Danio rerio: one gene and its partners. The protein of the gene in region 5 interacts with the protein of the main gene of each other region in a biochemical or structural test. Links are inferred from orthologs where the notes say so. Each region holds a gene or a part of one and is shown on either strand. Other genes may lie near its edges.

Evidence for each region.
Region 1: the proteins of ccna1 (region 5) and mybl2b form a complex in vitro, tested with the Homo sapiens proteins (2 studies listed by BioGRID, with this or other methods). The link is inferred for Danio rerio from reciprocal best matches to the Homo sapiens genes CCNA1 and MYBL2.
Region 2: of the proteins of ccna1 (region 5) and si:ch73-368j24.12, one has a biochemical effect on the other in vitro, tested with the Homo sapiens proteins (2 studies listed by BioGRID). The link is inferred for Danio rerio from reciprocal best matches to the Homo sapiens genes CCNA1 and H1-5.
Region 3: the proteins of ccna1 (region 5) and cdkn1a form a complex in vitro, tested with the Homo sapiens proteins (2 studies listed by BioGRID and IntAct, with this or other methods). The link is inferred for Danio rerio from reciprocal best matches to the Homo sapiens genes CCNA1 and CDKN1A.
Region 4: the proteins of ccna1 (region 5) and mcm4 form a complex in vitro, tested with the Homo sapiens proteins (2 studies listed by BioGRID and IntAct, with this or other methods). The link is inferred for Danio rerio from reciprocal best matches to the Homo sapiens genes CCNA1 and MCM4.

What each region holds. Positions count from the first base shown.
Region 1 is NC_133186.1:1,643,998-1,647,517, reverse strand, and holds part of mybl2b (v-myb avian myeloblastosis viral oncogene homolog-like 2b), read right to left. Parts: intron 1,524-3,520; coding exon 1,381-1,523; intron 1,303-1,380; coding exon 1,203-1,302; intron 1-1,202. UniProt on the Homo sapiens protein: Transcription factor involved in the regulation of cell survival, proliferation, and differentiation. Transactivates the expression of the CLU gene.
Region 2 is NC_133182.1:6,162,025-6,164,489, forward strand, and holds si:ch73-368j24.12 (histone H1-like), read right to left. Parts: upstream 1,253-2,465; 5' UTR 1,211-1,252; coding exon 605-1,210; 3' UTR 514-604; downstream 1-513. UniProt on the Homo sapiens protein: Histone H1 protein binds to linker DNA between nucleosomes forming the macromolecular structure known as the chromatin fiber. Histones H1 are necessary for the condensation of nucleosome chains into higher-order structured fibers.
Region 3 is NC_133197.1:623,135-627,286, reverse strand, and holds the start of cdkn1a (cyclin-dependent kinase inhibitor 1), read left to right. Parts: upstream 1-1,339; 5' UTR 1,340-1,534; intron 1,535-3,094; exon of another isoform or gene 3,095-3,098; coding exon of another isoform or gene 3,099-3,137; intron 3,138-4,152. UniProt on the Homo sapiens protein: Plays an important role in controlling cell cycle progression and DNA damage-induced G2 arrest. Involved in p53/TP53 mediated inhibition of cellular proliferation in response to DNA damage.
Region 4 is NC_133199.1:39,257,460-39,260,979, forward strand, and holds part of mcm4 (DNA replication licensing factor MCM4), read right to left. Parts: intron 3,211-3,520; coding exon 3,083-3,210; intron 2,510-3,082; coding exon 2,302-2,509; intron 1-2,301. UniProt on the Homo sapiens protein: Acts as a component of the MCM2-7 complex (MCM complex) which is the replicative helicase essential for 'once per cell cycle' DNA replication initiation and elongation in eukaryotic cells.
Region 5 is NC_133185.1:39,928,471-39,932,623, forward strand, and holds the start of ccna1 (cyclin-A1), read right to left. Parts: upstream 2,819-4,153; 5' UTR 2,740-2,818; intron 2,660-2,739; coding exon 2,513-2,659; intron 2,436-2,512; coding exon 2,255-2,435; intron 384-2,254; coding exon 265-383; intron 186-264; coding exon 1-185. UniProt on the Homo sapiens protein: May be involved in the control of the cell cycle at the G1/S (start) and G2/M (mitosis) transitions. May primarily function in the control of the germline meiotic cell cycle and additionally in the control of mitotic cell cycle in some somatic cells.

The DNA of each region.
Region 1 (3,520 bases), on a different chromosome or scaffold from region 5:
TCCATATTTATTTTTAAGCCTCATCCTCAATAAATGATTGAGTTATTCACTCATTAAACGTCATGTTTCATTGCTAGATGATCATTTCTGAAGAATTATTCAGTGGCGCATTTTTGACGGCTGGTTGTTGCCAACTATTGGTTAAACAGTAGCTCCTTTCACACAGAGATACCAGTAAATATCCAGAAAATTTCCGGAACGACTTTACCGGTAAATTCAAAAAAGCGCTGTTCACTCAGGCGAGGACTTTACGGAATTTTTCCGGAAAAAGAGCGTTCACACAGCTTGTGTTTGTAAACATTTGACTACATTACAAACTCTTTGGATGGATCAGTATTGAGTACAACTCCAATGAAAACATCTGGAGGAACACTTTCGCATGTCGAGATGTTCATGATATGCATGTGTGCTGGCGCTATGGGCGCTCACGGGCATGCGCAAAGCTTGAAGGTAAACAAACAATGGATTATCATAAACATCTTATCGCTGATTATTTACACAGTTGGCATTAAGATGAACATATAAACGTTATCCGACTAAGATCTAGCAGCTAAATGTGTCTGGAAAAATATTCAAAGGCTTTTATTCTCATAAACTGTGCAGACGTGAATGCGTCTGACTGTTCTGATTGGCTAAAGTAGACGTCTCATGTCAGCACGTTCTAGACGTGGACATCTTTCCGGCAATCTTCCTACAGCGCAGCATTCCGGCAAATTACCGGTAATGTTACAACTTCTCTTTCCGGAAAATAGCCAGAAGGAATTTACCGGTATTTTCAAAAAGGGCCTGTTCACACATACACACCTTACGGAAAATTGCCGGTAATTTTCCGGAAAGGTCTGTATGTGTGAAAGGGGCTAATGTAACTGCTGCCTTCAATATTAATTTAAGCGTCAAGTTTAATGAAAATGACGGTGATTTTAATCTTTAGCATAAACATAAGTGGTTTTATCTAAACTATAACCTGTTGTTTCAGTATAGCCGTGTTATTTGCATGTCTGTAACTTCATAACGATCTCAAAACACTAAAGACTGAATCTCCTGATTGTTGCGTTTTTCGAACAGATTTGAATGCAGCGATTCGAAGCATTTATAATGTATGTTGCGTGGGTGTTGCAATCCAGATCTTTACTGATTAATCATGCAGCTTATACTGAATGCATTAATGCAGGCTGAACAGAGTTTTCAGTAAATGTTCTCACCAGTGGCCGCAAAGGGCCGTATTTTTCCATGGCGTTTTTAAACGGAGTGGGCGTACGAGGCATCGTGTCCAGATCAGACTTGTGATTTGGTGTTATAAACCTACAAAGGAGGAAACATACACAAGTTCAGCAGTCACATCAGAGCTGAATCGCTGTGTGTGTGAACGCAGAGACGTACAGGGAGTTTTCCTTCTGTGTGAGCGGGGTTTTGTCTCGGTGCAGCGGTGTGGTGACCACGGCTTTCTGACTGCACACGGGAGTGGAGGTGAGGGACGGGTTCTCCAGGTCCAGCGTGTCCTGCTTCGTCCACATGTTGAGGAACTTTGAGAACACAAATATAATATTAAAGGTTTTGAATAATAACAGAAGCAGTCAAATGTTTCCTAAAGTCTGACAGGAAAGTTTTTGCTATAGCAATTAGGTATGCAAAATGACAGACATTACAAGACAGTCAATGAATTAAACGCTTAACTATCAAATCAGAGAATCATATCTGTAATACATTTATAATAATACAAGAACTATCATATATTGCACCTTTAAAAGTTAGATTCTTTCAATTCTTTACAAGAAGTTAAAGAGAAAAAGAAAACAAAACACAAAGATAAGGTAAAAAAAAAATGTACAAATTAAAGACGCAAGAGTCATTTTATTGTCACTTGCAGCTTTAATTTGCATATTGTGGTAGCATTTTAGCAGGTAAATACAGGAGAACCATGCAGCCATTTATATGTGCCACACTTGCTGCAGCCAGTAGATGGTGATATGACTATAAATGAACATTGAGCATTTAGAGGACTTAAAGATCTTTTACCCCTTATAATATTTATGCAATGAAGCCTGACTGTTAAAAAAAAAGTGATCAAATAGAGATATATTTTAAAGATCTTTGAAACATGCATTTAAGACATAAAAACTAATTAAGGCCTTATTTTTACACTATGAAATGCAAGACTTTAGGGATCTGTGGCCACTCTGCTTATGTACTAACATTATCTCAAATGTTTAAAAGAACACTCAGATCCTGTGAAATAAGCTATTTTAACTTTAAGAGATAACAAGTAGAAAAGACCACAACTCCCATGATTCCACGCTCAGTCAGGCTGTCATTAAAATACACGCCCTCTTGTGGCCAAAATTACATAGTGCAGAGTTACTGAAGTTTGTCCTGGGCGCTTGCTTTTTTTTCAGTTACGTCTTTGGTTTGGTGCGTTAATCTTATCGTTACTATTATTCAAAAGAAGGTAATGATTCGCACTCAATTGCTTCGTACTGTTTTTATTTGTACTTTTTCTTACATTTTACGGGTGATAACAGACAAACAGAGGTTTCGGCACAAAGCCTTCCTCAGTGTGTGACACAATTCTCTATAATCAGGTGTACATCAATACAATAAAATTCTAACAGTTGACATTAAAAGTTTTCTACATTTGACAATTACCCAAAGATTAAAAATCACAAGTCTTACCTTCACCTTTACCCATATAACCAATTATACAGGATGTGATTTTTAATCTTTGGGTATTTGTCAAATGTAGAAAACTTTTAATGTCAACTGTTAGAATTTTATTGTATTGATGTACACCTGATTAATGATAATAGTTTATACACTTTCTCTCTGTAGAGTTAGGTCGGAAATGGGAAGATTGTTTATTGTCATTGCTGTGAAGATTATAAGTTATTGTGTGATTAATGGATAATGAAATGAGAGTGACGGTTTAACTAATTGCACATTGTGATTGACTATGGAATAAAAGGGTGGAGTTAGAGAATTGTGTCACACACTGAGGAAGGCTTTGTGCCGAAACGTCTGTTATCATCCATAAAATATAAGAAAAAGTACAAATAAAAACAGTACGAAGCAATTGAGTGCGAATCATTACCTTCTTCAAAATTACATAGTGTCAAAAAAATAAATAAAAGATTACAGTTTCAATGATCTGACAGCCATATTAAGCAGTGATGCAACATTAATATTTGACCACCCAATATGATTTAGTTGTTGATATTATTAATTAAAATATATGTACGCAAATTCACAATATTTCAATAAATAAATAAAATGCAGCCACTAAATATTGTGGATTGATCAGCGTAGCTGATTCACTGATATTGCACACTTTTTATTAAGAAATGATTATTATTGAAATGCATTTGTTTTATCCGATTGAAAACCAGAAATTAAATAAAAAAATTGTTTATTTAGTTAATTAAATAAATATTTAGTTTATTTAGCAGCTCCATTATTTTGCTGGTTTGTTTTATTAATTATTTCATTAATATCCATTAATTTTAGACATGGCATATACTGTATGTTG
Region 2 (2,465 bases), on a different chromosome or scaffold from region 5:
ATTGGCTGTTGCATTTATGTCGCAGTGTGACGTGAACATTCTGACCAATGGCAGAGCATTACTTTTTTTTTTTTTCCCAGCAGACGACTGACAGACAGTTGCTTTTCCCGCTCAAAAAAACTTATTCAGGATAAGTTATTGTTGCATACAATGGCGAAACTTGCACATTTATTTGTTTTTTAGATAACTTCTTTATCATGTTTTAATGTAGCTTTTGAAAATAAGCTAACAGCGATGTGATTTTCAGATCGAAGCGAATGCTTCAAGTGGGAACTTATGCCTAAAGTAAACTTTAAGCAAAACGTCCTACATTAGTTCTGAATTTATGCATCCATCAGTATAGTATTTTAGGCATTCAATTGTGAGTACAGATAAATTGGATGAAAAAAAACTTAAAAGTTTTCCTCACTTGGGAACGAAAGGGATTGCTTTCAAAATGAACTGTTTGCGTTTCCTGCCCTGGTCTATTTTTCTGGTGGCATATTTAGTTACCGTTTCAAGATTAGTAGTTTAAAAGTGTTTGAAAATAATGCTCTTCACTGTTATGTGAGTGGCTCTTAAAAGAGCCGTTTAGTTTATGGAAGAATCGAGCAGAAATAGTAGATTACTTCTTCTTGGGAGCCGCTTTTTTGGGCTTTGCCGCCTTGGGTTTGGCCGTTTTGGGCTTGACTGCTTTCACCTTCTTGGGGCTCTTGGCTGCTTTCTTTGCAGCTGCTGGTTTCTTTGCCTTCTTGGGGCTCTTGGTGGCCTTCTTGGCAGCCGCCGGCTTCTTAGCTTTCTTGGGGCTCTTTGTTGCCTTCTTCACAGATGTGGCCGCCGGCTTCTTCGCCTTCTTGGGAGATTTCTTAGCGGCGGGCTTCTTGGCTTTCGTGGCGGTTTTCTTGGCTGCTTTCTTGGGCTCAGCTTGTTTCTTATTGAGCTTGAATGAGCCGGAGGCGCCTGTGCCTTTGGTCTGGGCTAGAGTGCCGTTGGTCACCAATGCCTTGACTGCGGTTTTGACGCGGGAGTTGTTCTTCTCCACATCATATCCACCGGCGGAGAGAGCCTTCTTCAGGGCTGCGAGAGACACGCCGTTTCTCTCCTTGGACGCAGTCACAGTCTTGACGATGAGGTCGCGGACATTTGGGCCCGTTTTCTTGGGCTTGGACGCCGCTTTCTTCTTGGGAGCTTTTGCCGGCGTGGCAGCGGGAGCTGGAGCAGTTTCAGCCATTTCTCAGAGGAGTAACCTTCACCTACAACTAGCAGTGAAAAATGAAGCTCTGCTGGGCGGCGCTGTGAACTTAACTGTCACATGAGAACCGTGTAGACTCAATCGCCGCTCCTCAGACAATCGCCTCGACACAAAACTTGTGCTTTCTCCGTTTAAACAAAGACTAAAAAAAGTGCAATAAAATATTTTACAGCAGACTAGAAAGACCTTTTTGATATAAAGAGGGTCAAGCCTTTGTCATGGAATTCAAACAGGAGACGCCCTGTATTTTGTTTTAGATTTATGGAGTCATTTATCCTCAGTTCTTTCACTGAAGTTGTTTTACTATGCACAATAGGACCTGTGAAAATATAAAACAAGATATGCAGCAAGAATTGTTAATGTTTATATATATATATATATATATATATATATATATATATATATATATATATATATATATATATATATATTTATCTATTTATTTTTTAAAATAAGACCTTTTTATATTGTATATTTTATATTTTGTTTCTTTGTTTGTTTCTTTGTTTGAACTTTATTAATCCAAAAGAAAAAAAAAAATCATGTCACACCAGAGTTCATCACTCAATAAAATAAATAAAATATAAAAAATTCTAAATAATATATAAGACAATAATAACAATAAAAAAACATCCATACTGAACAGCTTAATTTCAAGCAATAAGAAATATCCACAGTATAAATGAAATTAAAATTCTACATTATTTATCAATTGCCTTGAAGCAAATGCATGTTTTAAAGTATTTTTAAGTATTTTAAAGATGTTTCAGTACTTTAAAATACTGCACCAGTGAGTAGCATATTAACCTACATAATGCAAAATCTGTAAATAACAAAGCAATCATCAGAAGTTTATTATAGTTGTGGCAGTATAACCCTAACAAAAACAAGATGCCTTGCTATAATGTCTTCTGTCCAAAGATGCTATTATTCTTGTGTCGTGAAAAACATTTAGACCATGCTTCTCGAACTCAATTCCTGGAGGGCCACAGCTCTTCACAGTTTTGCTCCAACCCTAATCAACCACAGCTAATCCAAAAGTTGTTCAAAAGAGTCTCAAACACATTGATTATTTGAATCAGCTGTGTTTGATTAAGGTTGGAGCAAAAGTGTGCAGAGCTGTGGCCCTCTAAAAATTGAGTTTGAGACCCATGTAGACCAGGGGTAAGGAACCTATGGCTTGGAAGCTACATGAGGCTCTTTGATCAAAAATATGTGGTTCTCCTGCTGTCTC
Region 3 (4,152 bases), on a different chromosome or scaffold from region 5:
AATAAGTATGCAATAAGTATGCAAGTATATAAGTGTATATATAAATCTATTGCATCCCTGCAAAAATAAATATATAAATAATTATTCGTGCGGTTTGAAAGAAGGAAAAAAAATGCTTCATTTTCAGTTGAACATTTTCTTATTCCCCCGACATCTGTATAATTTATTTAATTAATAATCTCGCCGCACTATTTTTATATTTATTTATGCAGGAATTTGTGGGTTTTATATGTATTTATTTGCATATTTATTGTTTTATTTCTGCAGGAATTTATGGATTTATTAAGGCCTACTTATGTATTTGTGTATTTATTTATTGTTTTATGTATGAAGGAAATTGTGGATTAATAAATATTTATTCATGTATTTGCATATTTATTCATTTATTGTTTTATTTATGCAAAACTGTGGATTTATTTATTATTTATTTGCATATTTATTTATTAATTTATTTATTTATCTATTGTATGTATATATATATGTATGTATATATATATATTGTTTTATTTATGCAGGAATTTGTAGATTTATTCATGTATTTGCATATTTATTTACTCACTGTTTTATTTATGCAGGAATTTGTGGATTTACTTGTTTATTTATTTGCATATTTATTTGTTTTATTTGTGCACGAATTTGTAGATTTATTAATTTGCGTATTTATTGTTTCATTTATGCAGGAATCTGTGGATTTATACTTTTTTATTTGCGTATTTATTTATTTATAGTTTTTGCAGGCTTCATCCTCCATATCTGTACCATTAAACAAAAATTACGAAACATTGCAGTTTTATAGATACTAATCTTAGGAAACAAATATGTGTGTGTGTGTATGTGTATATATATATTAGTTCAGGAAATCTCACTTTGTTAAAAATTGTGTTCCTGACGTCATACATGCAAGAACAGTGTTTTTTCTCCACGTTTACACACTTTTTTTTTTTTCTTACAAAGGCTGAAAGACCAAAAAACACCAAGCTGTAAATCAGTACATCTGGGTGGGGTTACTATATGCCCAGCAGCTCCTGGAGAAGTACTTCAGAAATGTTTAATATATCTATTAAATATATGTGCTTATTTGAATTGTTAGCGTGATCACTGATTTCTCTATATTTGTTATTGATGAGTAAATAATAGCACAGTCTCGTGTAAAAACAGCGCGTTTTCTGGGCGGCTCCTCGGAAGGTTCTGTTCTTTTCTGTGACGCTGATCTTCTGGAATGTCTCCACGCGCTCACGTGTGGTCATGTGTTTACCGGGCTTCTAGTCCACGTGCAGCGCTCGCAGGCTCCGCCCACCGCCTCGACACGCCCATCGGAGTTCATAAAGTTTGGGAAAGTGTCGTCAGAGGCAGCAGAAAAACTCCAGTGTGCAGATCCTCCAGCTCAGGATTGAGTTTCTCCACACTTCCAGCTTCAGGTGTTCCTCAGCTCCTGTTTTAAACCTGATACTGCTCCTGAGGAGATCTGAAACCCTCACATTCACTCTGACATCAGCGGGTTTACAGTTTCAGCTCTTGCAGAAGCTCAAAACATGTAAGTTGCATGTTTTAAATACTTTTGCACGTTTGTTGTCGGGTATTTGCTTATATATTGCTTTATATATGCTGAAATTGTGTTAATGTGATGCTGTGAGTGCTTTAGTGGAACTTTTCTAAACTTTAGTTTGCTCTGTCAGATAACACTCGACTGAAATAAACACCTCAGACTGACTTTAATCGAGAACTGTGCTGATCGACCGGTGTGAGTTGTGATTGATCGATTGTTATTGTGTTATTGTGAACTCCAAAGTCTCGGTCGTATCAGATCTCGACGTGTTTTCCACCGGCTTACACGAGTTTCAGCTTCACGTGGAGCGCTGGAGTGAGAGGGCGTGTTCTTGTCAGCTTCTGGCCAATCACAGGCGGACTCGGTTTCCCGCTGACTTCTTGAATTTTTTTTTCCTCGAGATGAACGGCACGTTCCATCGCAGAAGCCAATCAGAGTCCAGTGACAGGCGCGTGACGTCACCAATGAAACTTCTTTCTTCATCTAATTTTTTTTTTTTTTTTTTTTATTTTTTAGAAAATAACTTTTTGAAAATTGGGCGGAAAAAACTCTAAAGAGCACGCCACATTACAGAAATATTCAGAACTACCAATGATTTAATACACTGTCAGATTTAGTAAGTGTATTATTTTCTATATATTTTAATCATGACATGCATTATTTCAGTGAATTATGCAGTTTAGTTTGTCAGGGTTGTGGTGTGGTAAGTCTCTTAAAAATCTTAAAGGTCTCCTGGTAAGTCTCTTAAAATTAGAATCAGACTGAACATCTTAGATAAAAAATTTGACCTCTGACCCTCAAGAACATGTTGCCCATTATAATGCACGAGAGTTCATGACGGGTGTATATATATATATATATATATATAATCATATATTTTAGTAAGTAATTTTATTTTGTTGATGATGCATATATTAAATGCACACATACAGTACATACACACCCATATATATATATATAACGCCAACTTTTATGAAGAAAACGTATAATATTGGCATTTTGCTAAGTAAATATGTAGATATCATGTATCTTACAAAGAAAAAACTCAATTTTGTTAAGTTTCATTCATTTAATGCAGATTAAGATGGATTATCATTATAAAATTACACAAAGTTTTGTGTAATTTAAACATTATTAACTTAATTTTTCAACTTTTTTAAATGAATGAAAAGTCAATCAGTTGCCTAATATGGTGATTTTTTAAAAACTATTTACCATAATATTAAGATAAAGGTTAAAAAGGAATTGAATTATAATGAACACTGTCAGTTTTAATGACAGTTCTTAATATTACATTAAGATTCTAGTTTTCAGTTTAAAGGCTTAACCAAGTTACTTTAAGTCATTGGACTACAGTGGTTTGATAATGAAGCTTCACTGCTGGACTAATAATGTAGCTGTTCAGCTGTAGGCGGCGCTGCATGTCTAGCGCTGCTCCCTCTGGCGGCCAGGCGCGCTCACTGCAGCCGCTCGAACATGCCCGAACAAATGCCGGTCCTCTGTGACTCACTGCCCAATATAAAAGCACACCAGCCCGCAGAAACTCTCAGTCATGACAGCTCAGAGGCGCAGAGCTCGCGTGGAGTCAGCAGTAGGATATTTATGCGAATTAACCAGGAAAATGTTTTATTAGCATGCGAAATGTTAAGGTTTTCTGGATTGATCTATATGTTTTTTTGTGTAATACCTTACTGAATTATGATTATGTAGTTGTCTGTAATTACCTATTGATATTTATATTATTATTTATTTTTAAAATATTAGATTATAAAGATTTTTGCATTAGTAGATAAAAAAATATTATTTAATGAAGTGTGTGTGTGTGTGTGTGTGTATACATATATTTATACATTTATTTATTTATTTTTTTTATCTATTAGAATTTTGTAGTCACCATTTGTATTTGTTTTTTTTTATCCCTTTTTGATTGATGTAACTATGTATTTATATAATAATATATATTTCTAGGTCTCTTATAGAATTATGAAGTTGTCTGTTTATGTAATATTGGATTGTTATAATGACACAAAGCTATGGTAAATCTATGCTTGGTGTTGCAAAACCCTATTTTTAGCATGGTCTAACTTCCAAATAGTAAACAGTAAACTTTAGGGCTTAAACATAGGTCTGTATGACTGTGGCTTTATTTTAAAGTACACAAGAAATCCTCTTGTTGTTAGCTCACATTGCTAATTTTGTGATGAACACTTCATCTGTGCATGTTATTAACAAAACAATAGTTTACATTGTAATCCTTAATGTAAATCTGTAAATGAACTTCCTGTTTGTTCAGGTAAATTCTCAGATTGATCTGTCTGAGGTATTGGGTGTGGCTAACATTCTTAACCACACCCCTAAAACTGTCATCGCTATGACAACAAACAAAAATAAGTAGGAGGAGGAGTCTGTTCGGTTGTAATAACTCTCCCCAAACCCTTTTCCCCATCTTTCCCCAATGGAACGCCTACTCTACTACAGCCAATCAGCTAGCAGTAGAAGAAAACAAGCCACGCCCACTGTTTTCATTTAGAATTCAGTTTGTCTAGGAACTGCGTCACAATACGAAAAAAAATGCAGGTTCTGGTTCATGTGGATTTTAAATATGA
Region 4 (3,520 bases), on a different chromosome or scaffold from region 5:
CTTTGTTAGGATCATTATTTAAAAGTGCAGTATGTGACATCTAGTGGATGAACTAGGTATTGCAGTCCAAATTCAAAATATTGGATTTTTTTTCCCACCCAGCCCCTCCTCAGGTTGCTGAGACCAGCAGGAGTGAGCCAAAAGTCAAAGTATTCACACAAGTAGATTGACATTACATATGAAGTCAATGCAAACGCGATCGAAAAGGAGCATTTCTACAGTGCAGCGCAAATATTTTACTTGTTTTTGCCTGTCTTTTTTTTATTTATTTTATTGCCACATCAGCAATGTTTGGCTATTTCATGGCAAGATTAAAACGGATTAAAACAAACAACAAAATATTTATGCAACTTCAAATAATTCAACTCGAGCAGAAAATTAGCTTGAGGTAAATAAACATCACTCACTCTAGTTTACTCACGGGAAGCTTAAAGTTGGTGTGAACCAGCATTACACTATAAGCTTCTCAGCTAATGTTTGTGTTTGTAACATTTTTCTATTGTTTGCCAATTTGAAACTACCTCATGTTAATTTTTATAACTCAGAATCTACATCTTATTTTAAAGGCCCGCATACATTGAGACGGCAGTCTTCAACCAAGGCAACCTGGGGTGCCAAAATATAATGGCTAAAAATCGCAGTAGGCAGAGTTACACAGACCAAAACAAAGACAGACCTTCATACAATTTCAAAGTAGAACAACTGACATCAGCATTGTTTTTTCAGATAAACAAGCAAGTTCACTTACAGGGCTCGAAATTAACTTTTTTACTTGGTAGCACCAGTGCTCCCGACATCAAAAATTTAGGAGCACCCACCAACAATGATTGAGCACCGCTGCAAATTGAATTTTAAGGGATTTACTGTATTTTAAAACAACATTAATTAGGACTAACAAAAACCAGAAACAACTATCTAACTAATGCTGAAATGACATTGATATTTGTGTGCAATAATTCCAAAATGAATGTCGAATAATTATAAAATATTAATGTTGATGAAAATGACGATAATAGTAACAATGAATTACAGTTCTCATCATCATGCTGCCTTGAATGTGCTTGAATGCAGGTTATCTGCTATAAAAAGTCTGTTACTTTATGAGAAATAAATGTATAGTTTGCATCAAACAAAAATGAAGCATTGCAGTAAGAAATATTTATTTTGTACTGCTGTTAATATATGCATGTCAGTTTAATAAATAATATTTCTGCCATAAAACAAACAAAAGATTATAATAAATAATTAAATTCAAGCCTGAAAGCAGCAAAACAGTCATCAGTAACTAAATAAAAAAATAAATAATATACACCTCTAGAAAGAATAGACAAAACAAAGTAAGTAAAGTCTCACTTCTATCACTCTTTAAAAGTTTTGGTTTCAGTTTGTGTCAATTTAAAGGTTCAGTCTGAGCTGATCTTCATTTTTCTGTGTTTGTGGAAAAGCAGGCGAGTCAACCGACCCAATTTATGAGCAGGCAGAGCAGGATTCTTGCGATGACCATCGGCGCAATACCACTGTTTATGAGCCGCAGCTTCAGTGTGAACTTAGTAAAGGCGAGCTTCTTTGGCGATGATATGTCCAGTATTAGATTTAACTTTTAGCGGACATTTGCGCTGAACACGCAGTGAATGCAACGCATCGAGATTCGGGCGCCTTCTCCGAAAAGCACATGGTCGATTGATCTCAGCTGGCGGATCAATATTCACCACATGTCATGATCGCTTTCATCTGCGCCTCAACTTTAGGTGGGGTTTGCAAACCTGTGTGCTTTAAGTTTTCACTCTTCAGCCGTTTGCATTTCCCGTGGTCATAAAAGCTTCTTCCCTGTCACCTGACTGCGGAATATCTTGAGTGATTGACAGCTAATATGAACCAATATAGCGGCAGGGAAGACCGATTTAGCACGTTTTTAGAAAAAATCTAAACAGGTCACACTACAACCATTATCTGCAGTCGCACTAATGCTCCCATATATATTATGAGGTTGCATAGATTATTCTCGGGCGCATTTGCGACCAAAACAGTCGCAATTTCGAGCCCTGACTTCGCATATTTCTGAAATATCTGCAAAAATATTATGGATATTATAGTATTAATAGTCCAAAACTTACATACAGCCCCTTTAATTATAAAAGAGACAACGAACAATTTGATTGCAAAAGAAATCTGACATATGAAATGGCCAATTAAAAAATAAATCAAGATCAGCTAATCACAGTGAAATATCAGTATCGTCCTTAAATTAAAAGTAACAAAGCTGGCAACATATAATGCTGTGCTGTTATAGTGTTTCTATACCTCAATAAGGGCCTGACTGGCTTCTTCACTCAGTCTGGGATGTACAGTTGTGCGAGCGAAGGCGATGTAGTCTTTCAGTACAGCCATGTCCAGATGCTCCTCTTCAATCTGCTCTTCACTCTGATAATACAGAGAGACAAGGTGGTGCGCCAGACGCCTGTCATACGCCTCGTCCTGAGGGTCCAGCATTAGGAAGATCAAATCAAACCTGGAAAAAAAACAGATGCAGAGAGACAATTATTAGACAAAAGAAGAAAAAAAAACATTAAAATAAAAAGCAGCTTATGTTGAACTAATATTATGAATAATTAATAATCTTTGAGATCACAAAAGTAAAAAAAAAATTAAGTTCTTTTATGTAAATTTGCCCTATTTGTTAATAAATGTCTTTAAAGTTAGTTTATAATTTAATTTGACAACTAATTTAAATTAAACACTTCTATACTGACAAAACTAATATTTAATTATATCATCCAAATGTTTTTTTTCTTTACTTTTAAACATTAAAATTATCACATAATTATTGGCATTTCACATAAACACTGCACTTAGGAAGTTGGTTCCCAAATAATATTAAGCAGCACAACACTTTGCATTACAAAAATGTAATACATCCTAAAAGAAAACATCTATTTTAAACTGTAATTATTAAACATTACATTTTTACTTTATTTTTAATCTAATTAATGTTAACTAATATTTTTCAAAACACATTGTTTTAAATATTCAGCAGATGATTAATATACATTATCCGCTATAAATACGGTTGTTTAATTTGTACCTGGACAGCAGTGTGTGAGGCAGCTGAATGTTCTCTATCGTTGTCTTTTTGGGGTTCCACTGAGACTCCACCGGATTGGCTGCTGCGAGGATGGAGGTCCGAGCATTAAGCTGACAAATAATCCCAGCCTACGAAACACACACACAATCCTGCATTAATCATCAGTTCAAACAAATGCATTGCAATTCCAAACCCAATCCTTCATGCACCTTCAGATACATGTCGGTATTCATTAATTCGATATATTGTGATAATGAACATGCACAATATTGATATCACAGGTACCTCAAAACACCATGATTAATTGTTTAAACATTTGAGTGCCTTTTAAGAAAATGTTGTATTAGTTTGTTGTATTAGTATTGGTTAGGTTATTTTCAAAAAGTAAGACTTACTGAATCTGAGACTATTTATAGGCCTTTTGTTCATGAATTCTGA
Region 5 (4,153 bases):
TTTCCTCTCAGGACAGACATGCACGAAAGAAAGCGGTCCAGGTAATTGACAGCCAGGTACAGGGTCTCAGAGCACAGCTTGTATTCTTCGCCAACTTCCACCAGCCAGTCCACAAGAATGACCCTCATGCAGTTGGTTATGTCAGGCTGCTTTCTCATATAGCCGGGTTTTGGTCTGTATTTAACCTGAAGCACAAAAAAAAAAAAAGTGTAGATGCAGAGCAAAACAAACTAAACTAAAACAGGTTAAACTAAAAAGACAAACTTCGCATTCACGCAGGTATCTGTGGATGTCCTCAGCATATTCAGAAACACACAAGACGTCCTCAGAGGAAGCAGCTTCTTCATCAGCCAATGAATGCATGGATGAATCCATAAATGACCCTGAAGTGTTTAGAAAAGACAGTTTTAGGCCACAAATCAATCTGTGATATGGATTAGTGCATTCAAAATACTGCATTGTTGATTTTTTTGTTGTTGTTGTTGTTGTTGTTGAAAGGACACAATAACCATGGATGGACTTAACCAATAAGCGAAGTAAGCAGTCGCTTAGGGCTCTGGGGAATATGGGGGCCTGACCAGTGCTAAGAAGCCCATGTTAATCAAATAGTAATTGTAAAATCTGTCTATAACTATTAATATTGTTAAAAAAAGTTATAGACACTTTTCAAAACCGGCAACGCCACATGAAATACTAAATTAAATAAATAAAATTAACTGTACAATGTGTACATAGTCTTTGAACTTATATTTAAATGTTACATTAAGATAAAGACTTGACTTAATATACGTTTTAAGTTTACAAAAAAAATAATAATAAAAAAATCTAGAGTGTTTCAACACTAGGGCCCTGTACCTGGAATTGCTTAGGGCACCCAAATCACCAAGTCAGCCCCGTGTATACTGTACCTGCAAGTTAACCGTTTATATACTGCCCAAATTATGCCGAATAACTGTGCTCATCACTGGGTGACAAGCTGTTAAAATATGCTGAAAGCATTATGTTAATAAATATAATATGTAATCAATATAACTTCAATAAAACAAACTCTGTCCCACATCGGATGTCATTCCCGCACCAGGTTTCTGCAACCCTGCTGCGTGTGCATCCTGAATGTTTACAAACCAGTAATTAGGCTGTACACAACTCAACTTCAGATTTTGAATAATGTAACATGCACCTTTAAGCTGCTTTGAAACAATAATTGAGAAGTGCTTTACAAGTAAACTTGAATTAACGTTAATGAAAGAAAATCAACTACTCCGGTTTTGTTTGGGGGAGGAGCGAATGTGGTTTTCTACATTGAAAATATTTGTCTGTTCTTATAACTTCTGATTAACGGAAATTAAGCCAACATTAACTCCTTATACCACAATTTAACATCTTTTACCGCCTGTTAAAACTTAGTTTGACAAATTACTAAACCAATTCTTGCTTAGCAATTCCTTTTCTATACGATTTAGCACAAGGTTAGTATTACAGTATATTGCATTATGCATGCAAAAAATAAAATAAATAAATACATTTAAAAAAGCACTCAATTTCTACATACAAGGAAAGTTACAATGGTAAATGCATTTCACTAAAGGTAAAACATTCAAGTGTTGGGGTAAACTTACAAGTAACGAGAGATCCATAATATTGCTCTCCTAAATAACGCAATATTTGAGCTATTTTTGAAAAACACGTCATTTTAGTTTAATCCGCTTTTAAAAAGACTAAAAGCTAAATTAAAATAAGTCAATGAGAGAAAAATCATTATTTTGAACGCATCTAAGAGGAAAAAGGGGATTATAGTCTCAATGGACAGTGATTTCACTTGACAAACATTACTTTAAACAATCTGTATATGCGGCTCATAGTTCTGGGGTCAGGAAGTTCTCGGTTAACTAAAATATTTTATATGCTTTTTTATTTTAAAAGGTAAATAAAAGGTCTGCTTAAATTAAAACAGCTCATCTAATCGCAGAGCTCCTCTATTTAAACAAACAAGTTATGAAAAAGTCTCAGCCAGGTAATACAGAGTAATGCAAAGGTAATGTAACGGATTTCTTGCCATAAAAACAAAGTACAACTAGTTACTTTTGTGGGAGTAACTCAATATTGTAACATTACTTTCAAGTTACTTTTCACAACACTGACTATAACACAGCAGTCAGTAGCAATTGAGTAGCTTCATAACAGTAAGTTACTTCTAAGCTAAGCTAAACATGTATATATGTGATAAAACTTATTCTTGTAGATTATAACACACCTGAGCCAATATCTTGAACAGCATCGTCGAGTACTAGCAGTTCTGAAGGCAGCAGGAATGATGTTGACTTGACTGACTGTACAGTGGCTGTCTCAATCACACTATCACCAATTGACGCTCTGAACGTACTGACGTCACGCTTAGACACCTCCTGGAGCGTTGTCTCATATTTGGACGCAACCTGGGTTAAACGAGAGAAACGTCAATTTGTTTAACCATCCATTTGTTAATAACAGAAGGCAAACATCTACAATGTACCTGTCCAAATATTCGATTATGCTGCTCATTCTCGGTCAAAACACCGAGCACAATTCTTTGGCCGGGCTTGAGCTGGCGCAGGCCTTCCGCTCTTCCTAAAATGTTCTCCTGACGACTGGAAAGAGGAGCAAAACTGCGCGAAGACATCTGTCAAAATCGAGATTTTTTTCAAGATGTTGTGTAATAAATTAAAGTTAATATTTAAAACCGAACCATTCAAAACAAACCTTTTATATCGTCAAACTTTTTTTTTTAAACGTATGAACTTTCAGTGGATTGGTTAAAGTGCTTTACAAGTGAGTTTCACGCTAACTCATTTATACTTGCAGGTGGCCAATCAACATGAGGCTAGTTGATGGTTTACCTAATTAGTGTTGCATTTCTCAGGTGTTGCAAATAATGTTTCGACAACAACGCAACCATGGAAACGCGGTATGTATGCGCTGCAGTTATATAGATATATATACATTAGATGTCGCCTATCCTGTTGTTGTTTATTAGAAGGAATGCGTCGATAGAGCCGACATTTTAGTACAGGGTAGCGCTCCTTTGAAATGAATGCGGGACCAAGCTGTAGTGGAGAGACACAAAAAACGATTTTTTAAATTATCCTTATTAAGAGTTAAATAATAAAATAAATAAATCTGTTTTGTTAAAAATATTTATTAAGCATTTTATACGAGTAAAATAATGTGTTTTATTAAATAAAAGAATTTACCATGAGTTGCATATGTTGGCACACACGCTTTAATTTAAAATCATTGAAAACAATAACATGCAGTCACACGTCCAAGTGTAAAGTGTTCATTTATTCATTCATTTTCAGCTTAGTCCCTTTATTAATCTGGGGTCGCCACAGCGGAGTGAACCGCCAACTTATCCAGCACGTTTTTTACGCATCGGATTGCTTTCCAGCCACAACCCATCTCTGAAAAATAAAGTGTTCATATATTTTTTTAAATTTTTATCAAAATAGACTGTTAAATCATACATACAGTATAGTTGAGGTCAAAAGTTATGATTAATTTGAAAAAAAAAATCTTTATCATTATTTATTATTAATTAATTAATTATTTTGCCTAAACAAGAGGGATCACATTATATCATTATATTTCAGATAAAGTAGAAAGTAATATTTGGATGAAAAATTCCCTTATATGAATTTTATATACTTGATTATAACAATTCTTAACCCTGTTAAGATTGAACCATGAACAAATAGTCAGAATATTCACATTTTTTTGGAACTAAATTGTTTATTAATCCTTCTATCAAGATCCAGTTTAATACTATATTTTACAGTCTGTGGTTTTATACCATAGCCTATACATGTTTTTTGAAATGTATTATGTATCATGTTGACACATCAGGCCTTTTGGCAACTTGTTTTGCTCAAATTTTAGTCACAAAAAAGTTTGCCCATAACATTGATAAAATAGAACATATCAGGCAGTTTGTCCCTGTTTATTTTAAACATTTTAGTGTTTTTTATTTCACTTTGCGAGGTGTAAAGCCGTTTCAGTCAATTGTTCATGCAAAGACAGACCTTACACCTCACATATGAGAAGTGATTGATGAGGAAAAAATATCTTTAATATATTAATGGAAAATTTTGGCATTCTTACTTGCCTGTTATAAAAT